2 linked regions of the Coturnix japonica genome follow. The protein of the gene in region 1 interacts with the protein of each later gene in a biochemical or structural test. Links are inferred from orthologs where the notes say so. Each region holds a gene or a part of one and is shown on either strand. Other genes may lie near its edges.

Region 1 (3,623 bases):
GCTAAAAACTAATAGGTGTCATGCCACAAGTTTTAAGTTATAGAACCTCACTAAATGATACCAGTGATCTGCATGTAAGACACTAATATACAACAAGTCACTGCTGGTAATAAGCTTTTTGACTGTTTGTTGTTGTTGTTTTAAGGGACTAGTAGGGTTGCAGTGGGGGAAAAGAGTGCAAAATGGCAACAAACAGACTCAAGACTTTTGTCAATGAAATCACAGTGTTGTGACAGTTTATAGCAGTTGAAGGTATGGACTAAATTGTTTAGAGCGCAATCTGCTTAATCATTCTGAAATATAAAGAGCTGGCCAAAGGATAAACACAGACATGTAAATCAACTTGTGGCATCTACTAATACCCTCAAGACTCAATTATTTTGATTAGCAGCATTTGACTACAGACAGAATGATAACATCTCTGCGGCAGATGTAATTCACTCGGAAAGGCTCTATAGGTCACCATGATATGAACAAAACAAGAAGCCCTAAGACTTTCAAGTCACAGATAGCTGTTCTTCCCTTGCCCAGTTACAAATGGGTATCTGATATTTATTAGTATCCAAAATGCAGAGGAAAAGGATGAGATACTAAGCACTAAACAAACGAAACAGTAAGTGCCTTGAAGATGAACATTTAAACATCAAGGCACCTCAGTCAAAGAGTAGTGTCGATTTATGGCCCTCCAACTCATCACTTGGTACAGGCTGTCCAACAGCAGAATTTCTGCAACTGATCACAGCAGTGTGCCATTAGCATCTCATCCATTTCCTTCTCCATCATCGAAAGATAATTTCCTCATGGATCAAAATCACCAGGACCAGTTTACTGACAGAGCACAAAAGAGGAGGAAAAGCCTGAGATAACCCATTTCTGTAGCTGAACAGTAAGTCCCTTAACAAGGCTGTATCTTCAGAGGGACAGAGAGGTACACAGCCACCTCTTCCAAGAACCACTGGTATTATTTGTAAATCCACATGAGCCCGCGTTGCCAAAGTTTGAGGGCTGTTTATGTGAGAGTCTGTCATCTAACTGCAACTGTGCAGTCACTAAAGCACCCAACATTGGCACAGCGGAATTGGCTCAATTTGCATCAGTAAGTGAATAAACAAAAAATCTCAGTATCGTAGTGAGAGTAACCAGATCTGTCTCAGATTAACATTTGCTTCAGTATGCATCTCCTTGTGCTTCCTGCAGGTTTTGTTAGGTCTGGTTCTTCATTTTAAAATAGGCGTTGGGGTATTTTTTTCTGAATTCAGTGTTTATTGCTGAAGGATAAATCTCATGATCTGAAGATGCTTTAACAACAGAAATTTCCACTAGAAAAATTAGTCTTCTTATACTTACACAGCATGTTAAAGTCTTCTCTATCTAGACTCCTGCTGAGGTAGAGAAGTCCCATTTTTTCTCTGATTTGAAACCAGTGATTTTCGTGGGATCTCGCTCGAGAAATGATGAGATTCTGGCACAGATGAAAGTGGGCTGTTTCCCCATGTGAATCCCTCAGGGCGTGGATGCGCAGGAGCGGTGTACCTGCTGGTTGGTCAATGTAGACGTTCTCTGAGTACTCCTTTCTGGGGAAGTACAGACCAAAGGAAGCTGCAAAGGAAGGCACAAAGCAGGAGAGTTCATCCCAGTTAACAGATTTTTGCATTGGCATTTTCTTAAGAGACACGCTTGCAAAGAATTGAAGGCTCCATTCTGTGAAGATTAAGGAAGCATTAAAAGTGATGAGAGTAATGCGGATCCTAATCTAGCATAAATCAGTTTTGCTGCACTCAAGCCAGGGACATCGCCATCAAAGACCTGGCTCATAGTTCATGCTGAAGTTGCACAGTCATCTACTTCTTAAAAGTGAAACTGCTCTGCTATAAGCATAGCCCAGTTAAAGCTGAACACTTAAAAAACATATGCTTGCCAGGTCCATACCTACACCTCTCAGGTCTTCTTCCAGTGTAAACAGACTGACTGAGTTGTCAGAAATACTGAGTAGCCCGACAGAGTCCTGGATTGCAATATGGTCATTAAACAGAATGATGCCTTCACATTTAAAAATAAAGTCTTTCATTTGAAGATAAGTAAGATTTGGGTGGGACTTTCAGAATCACAAAGAGACAGGCCAACATCTCTATCCACTGCAGCAGGCTGAAAAAGACTGATATCTTGTTTGGGTGCACTGGCAAACTGATGTTAGAATGAACTGCAAAGATATCCCACCTGCAACATATGTAAACAGTGATACTGGCATGCACTGAAGTACTGGAGCTGTCACACATGTCCTCCATCTGCACCTACTGCCCGTGGTTGCTCCCACACAACAGATCACTTGCAGAACATTCTGCAGAGTTTTTTTTATCATATAATCTGATTTGATAAGGAGTAAGACATGTAAAAGGCTCATACATCTGCTGAACGAATGAAAATAATTTCCACATGGTACAAAGACGGGACTGTTTTAGCTAAAAGCAAGCCAGGTAGAAATGGAAATGATGGCAGCAAAGCAGTAACAGTTTGGATATAAAGCCAAAACATCTTCCAAATACTACCAGGATGTATCATTTATTTTATATTGCTATTAGACTCATATGCTATTTTACTGAATGGAGAGAATGACAAACAAACTCTGAATGAGAGACCTCTCATTTCCTTCAGAAACACCACAGAAACCACTCTACCTTGCAATGTTTCATGACATCATTAGTATCCCTGGATGCAATTACATCCATGTGATCTACAGGACCCCATTACTTGTTCAACAAATGCTTTGCAATATGTGAATAAAGTAGTAAAGCGATGCAGTAGGCGACTTTGCTCCAGAGTAATTAATTCAAAAGCAAACCAACAAAAACCCTTCTTGGAGTTTTAGAAAAGCAATTTAACCAGTAGCTCCTAGAGCCCCTTATCGAGTAGAAAACAATTACTTCTCACTCTGACCCCATTACCTGAGCATTCTTAATGCATTTCCAATCTTTTTCCAGCCCTGCTGCCTGCCTCTTTTTGGAAGTGCAGGAAAGGATGGGGAATCCACACCACCAGGACTCCTAACAAACAGGTCCATTAATGAAAGGTATCGGGTGATATCCAAAGAGAAGGCCCAGCCCCGGTGCAAATACCCTTCGGGTATTTTCTATGAGATTGCGATTCTAGATTTGTAAAAACTTCCTCGCAAGAAATTCTATACCAGGTATTCAGTGCTCAATGAAAAGAGATTGATAAGTAAGTAAATAGATAGATAGAACTCACTGATGTGTGCAAGTGAGACTTTCACAACATTAGCAATAGGATGGAGGAATACTTATTTCTAAGACCAGGGTGAACAGCTCTAATGTGAGGAAGGACAAAGGGGACACAACCTGTGGCTTAAGTGGATATTAATTAGTTTCATGTTTCACTCAGAAAACAAGTACCTCAAATCAGAACTCTTTACAGCAATGTAGAAAGTTAGATGGCTTTAAAAAAAAAAAAAATAGAAAGATAAATTTGACTTAGCCATGTTATCGTAACAAGATTCATCCCATGCTGCTGATATTGAAAATGCTGGGATTTTGTTAAGTGCTTCATGCCACTCTTTAATCCCATTTCAAGCACTGGGAAAGATGAGAGGTATGCAACAGATTGCCCGA
Region 2 (4,127 bases), on another chromosome or scaffold:
CACATAGATATTTAGAATAAGAAGGCCCAGGAATACAGCAGAACTATTATCCCCAACAGTTTTTACCTGAAATCAGCCCAAATTTCAGGCTTCCACAGTATATCATGCAGAAGCTGGCAAGGTTTTTCCCCCCATACGCTGTTTGCTGTAACCACTGAAATTTGTACCTGACCAAATACTTACGTGCATCCCAAAAATGCACACCACTGGTTATCAAAGAGGCACCCATCCATCTCCCACTTCCCAAGCTTCCAGCACTACTCTGCCTCTGAAAACAAGTCCTCTGAAAACAAATCCCCCGCACTCAACCTCCCACAAGAAAGCTCTTTGGTTTAAGAAAGAGATCTCCCTACAAACCCGTCCTTGTTTCACACATCACTGTAAACCTCTATGCCCATGGCACAGACGGGGATACAACAGCAGGGAGATGTGACAGCACTGTCCCATCCCATGCCACACTCTGCAGGAGTCCACTCAACTCCACAGCCATGTGTGCAGGAATAAGCTGCCCATGCCTTGCTGTCTAGAGGGCCATCTACTAGTTCAATACTGTCAGAAAACAAGCTCCCAGCACAATACTCTCCTGTTGCTGGCAGAAATGGCACATGACCCAGCTATGCCTTTCCTCTGCCAGCTGGGAACTCCCCACGTCAGAAGAATCCCTTTGCCAAAGAGATCCAGATACTTTTAGCCCATTTATACCCAGAGTGCTGCTGAGAACACAACCAAGGATCTCCTAAAACCTTTGTGACAGTTCTTGCTAGAGTCAGAGCCATTTAGGTGCTCTCAAGATAGTTGCAAATGTATGTTTTATTCACAAAGCACGCGGTATAGTCTTAAGCAGAACTACGAAACAGATCCGTTTGCATTTAGGCAGCACTTTTGGACTATACAGTAAAAACTTATAGAAGTACATTACTGAAACCCAGGTGTGGACATATCTAAGGATGAAAGCCAACTCACACAGCAGTAAGGGAGGGGATATTTTGATTAACAAAACCAAGGAAAGCCATGAAGTACCACAAGATCTTTAACAGGTAGCCAGGGCAAACAAGACCTACTTTAAGAACAAATAAAAGTCCAAGCAAAGAAAATAAATCAGAGCATAACGCGGTAAAACAACCACTGTATGAAGCAACAGGGTCCACCGCTCTGTCCATTTAGCACTTGGAACAAGGCTACCAAACACCGCTCTCTAGGCTTTATTGTTTGCTCTGCGCTGCATAGAATTTTAAAGCGTTCTGGTTCAGAGAAAGCCAGCCCTCAGTATCAGCACGTAACCATGCAAAGCCAGCCAGAGGAGCTCCTGCAAAGCTCTACTCTCGTGCAGTGCCGTTAAGTGAGCCCTTCGGACAGAGCAGCACGCTGCCAGCCCGGCACCCTCCCAGTGCCTGGAGGGCTGGGAAGCACAGCCAGAGCCGTCACATCAAGTTTCCAGCACATTTCCCTTTTCCACGCAGGTTTTCTAATCTCCATATGTTTGTTTTGTGTTTTTTTTTTCTTGTTTTTTAACCTGCCCTCATAACTCACTCCATTTAATCCCAGGATTAGCCTCGCTGCCCTTCTCCATACCTTTTCTGGTGCTCTAAGTACAATGAGCCTCCGGACGCAGGAATAGATCGAGCTGGAGCATTAGGGCATCACTGCCGTACGCCCCACCAAGTCTTTGTTAAAGCAAGGAACTGCTCGGCACCTTTATGGGGCATCACACTCCATCCAAATGTATTGGCTTCCCACATCCCACCGCTTCAATGCCGGTTGTTCACCCCCTTCCCTCCCCGAAGTCACTCTTTCCTAAGGAAAAGTAAGCCACGTTCTTGGGGCTGTTTGAGAAAACCCCATCAGTGCCGCTCTGACACACCAGCGGCACATGTTCCCGCTTCGACAAATAGGAACGCGTTGGGCAGACCACCACTTCAGATGGAGCAGGGCTCCGGGGCTGCTGAATCAGCACTTTCCGTCCCGCTGGCAGTACGGAGTTATGCGAGGCTTCAAAGGAGAGCAGGGAAAAAGGGGGGCGGGGGCGCTGGCACTTCGGCAGCACAAGTGGGCAGGAGGATTCTGCACGAGTTCGCCTGCCAAACCCATTAACTGCAAACTGCGCTTACAGAGATGCCACAGCGGCGCTCCCGCAGTTACGCGAGGGGAGAGCCGCGTGCTCGGAAGGCTCCAAGGGCCCCCCCCCATCAGCCGCCGTGCGCCGGCAGCGCGGCCACGAGTTACCGGGACAGGTCCGCAACCCGCCCCACGCCGAAGCCGGCTCGGGCCGCTGCCCGCGGGCACGGGGCTCGGCGAGGGGCGCCGGCGGCCCCAGGAAAAGGAAGTCTGCTCCCCTCCTCCTCCTCCTCCCCCGGCCTCTACCGCCGAAGAGCAGGCAAAGCCGCTCCGCGGCCCCGGCGCCGCCCCCCGGCTCCCCCCGGCCCTTACCTGCAGGGCTGCCGGCCAGCACCCGCCCGCCCGCGGCCCGCCGAGTTCCGGGGCTCGGAGGAAGGGGGTCGTGAGCGGCTCCGGCGGGGATGGGGGTGGTCTTCGTGTCGCCGGGGCTCCCACAAGAACACGCGTTTCGGAAAGCAAAACTTACAACAAAATTAAAAAGAAAAAAAAAAAAATCTTAGAAAGCAACCAAAAAAAAAATAAAAATTATGTATTAAAATTAAAAACATAAAACCAAAAACACACCCAGCACGCACGGGGACTTCCGAGCCTACCTAAGGCGGCCCCGGGCTGCGGGAGGGCTCAGCGGGGAAAAACTTCTACCCGCTCCGCTGCTGCCGCCACCGCTCCCTCTACTAACGGCGCCCCGTCGCCGCCGCGCGCTCGCCCCGCGCCCAGCTGACTCCCGCCGGCGCCCCGCCCCGCCCCGCCCCGCGCCCGCCCCCGCCGCACGCAGCCGCAGCCCCGGCCCGCGCCGCGGTGCCGCCGCCGAGGGCAGGGGTCGGGCGGCTGAGCCGCCGCAGCGCCCTTAGGAGCTGAGGGTCGGGGCCGGAGGGCCTCCAACAAAAGCACGCGCACAGGTAGCGCGGGAGAGTCCTTTGCGGGAGCCGGAGGGACGCCCCGGGGCATCTGCGAGTGTGGGGCTGGCCGGGGACTGTGTTGAACCTCCCCCCTCCGACCTGCCCCCGAGGATGGGCTGCCGGAGCTCTGACCCCGTGCCGTGCAGAGCCGCGACCGACCCGCTGCCAGCCGCGCTCCGGGCTGCTGTGCCGGCTGCGCTCGGTGCGCGCTCCTTGGGTGTCACTTCCGAGCGGTCCGGGACCGAGAGAAAGCTCCTACGAGAGCAAAGTTGGCCGCTTCCCTCCGAGCATCGCGAACCTCGGCGCAACCCGAGCTGCTCCCCGAGCAGTGTGTTCCCTACTGCCGAGCGGCCAGCGCTATGGAAGGAACCGAGGGGAATCGGGAGGAACCTCTGTGTATTTTCCCCGAAGCCACACAGACGCATCCCGATGGCACCGCGGGGCTGAGCTCCTCAGCCCGGTGTGTTTGGAAGTGTATCACCTCCCTTGCTCTCATTCTGCCTTCCTCCTTTGCTGTACCTCACTGTACTTAAGAGAATGGTTTTTCTACCAGTTCTCTCTCCCCATCCTCATGTTTTCAGCTCTTCCTCCTGCTTGCTCTCCTGCCGACAGCTCTATACCTCTCCATTTCCTCACGCACATTACACTAGTCAATCACTGGCCAAACCTGGCACCGCTCTGCCTTTGGCCACCTCCCAGATGTCCACACAGTGTTGGCATCCACCCCATCCCATACTACCGCCATGCCCTGGACCCAGGTCGCCTCTGTCATCCCGCTGCCACCTTAGCCTGCCTTGACTTTCCACCAGCCACTGCTTATGCTCTGAAGATGGAGTCACCTCCATCCTGTCTGGTACCAGGACCTGCATACCTGGCATCGTGGCCGCACATACTCACACTCGATTCCATCACATACAAAGTATAAGCAGTACTTGTTGGACTTGGCCAGGGTTTTTGCCATGGACTTCCCCATCACCAGTTCGTGCTTTTCTCCTGCCATGGGCATGGCCAAAGACTTCAGTGCTCACCTCTGTTGCATATAGTTCAATGCTCTTTGCCCTGGCATATCCTATAGCCACGTAACGACACTGATATGTTTGTTGTTGTCAGTAT

What was found. The genes of interacting proteins can lie anywhere in the genome.
Region 2: the proteins of RET (region 1) and GRB10 form a complex in vitro, tested with the Homo sapiens proteins (2 studies listed by BioGRID). The link is inferred for Coturnix japonica from reciprocal best matches to the Homo sapiens genes RET and GRB10.

What each region holds. Positions count from the first base shown.
Region 1 is NC_029521.1:3,914,709-3,918,331, forward strand, and holds part of RET (proto-oncogene tyrosine-protein kinase receptor Ret), read right to left. Parts: intron 1,600-3,623; coding exon 1,348-1,599; intron 1-1,347. UniProt on the Homo sapiens protein: Receptor tyrosine-protein kinase involved in numerous cellular mechanisms including cell proliferation, neuronal navigation, cell migration, and cell differentiation in response to glia cell line-derived growth family factors (GDNF, NRTN, ARTN, PSPN and GDF15).
Region 2 is NC_029517.1:49,779,072-49,783,198, reverse strand, and holds the start of GRB10 (growth factor receptor-bound protein 10), read right to left. Parts: upstream 2,841-4,127; 5' UTR 2,709-2,840; exon of another isoform or gene 2,680-2,708; intron 2,577-2,679; 5' UTR 2,498-2,576; coding exon of another isoform or gene 1,982-2,497; intron 1-1,981. Other genes in the region: WAS/WASL-interacting protein family member 3-like, read left to right, coding at 1,982-2,497, 3,019-3,939.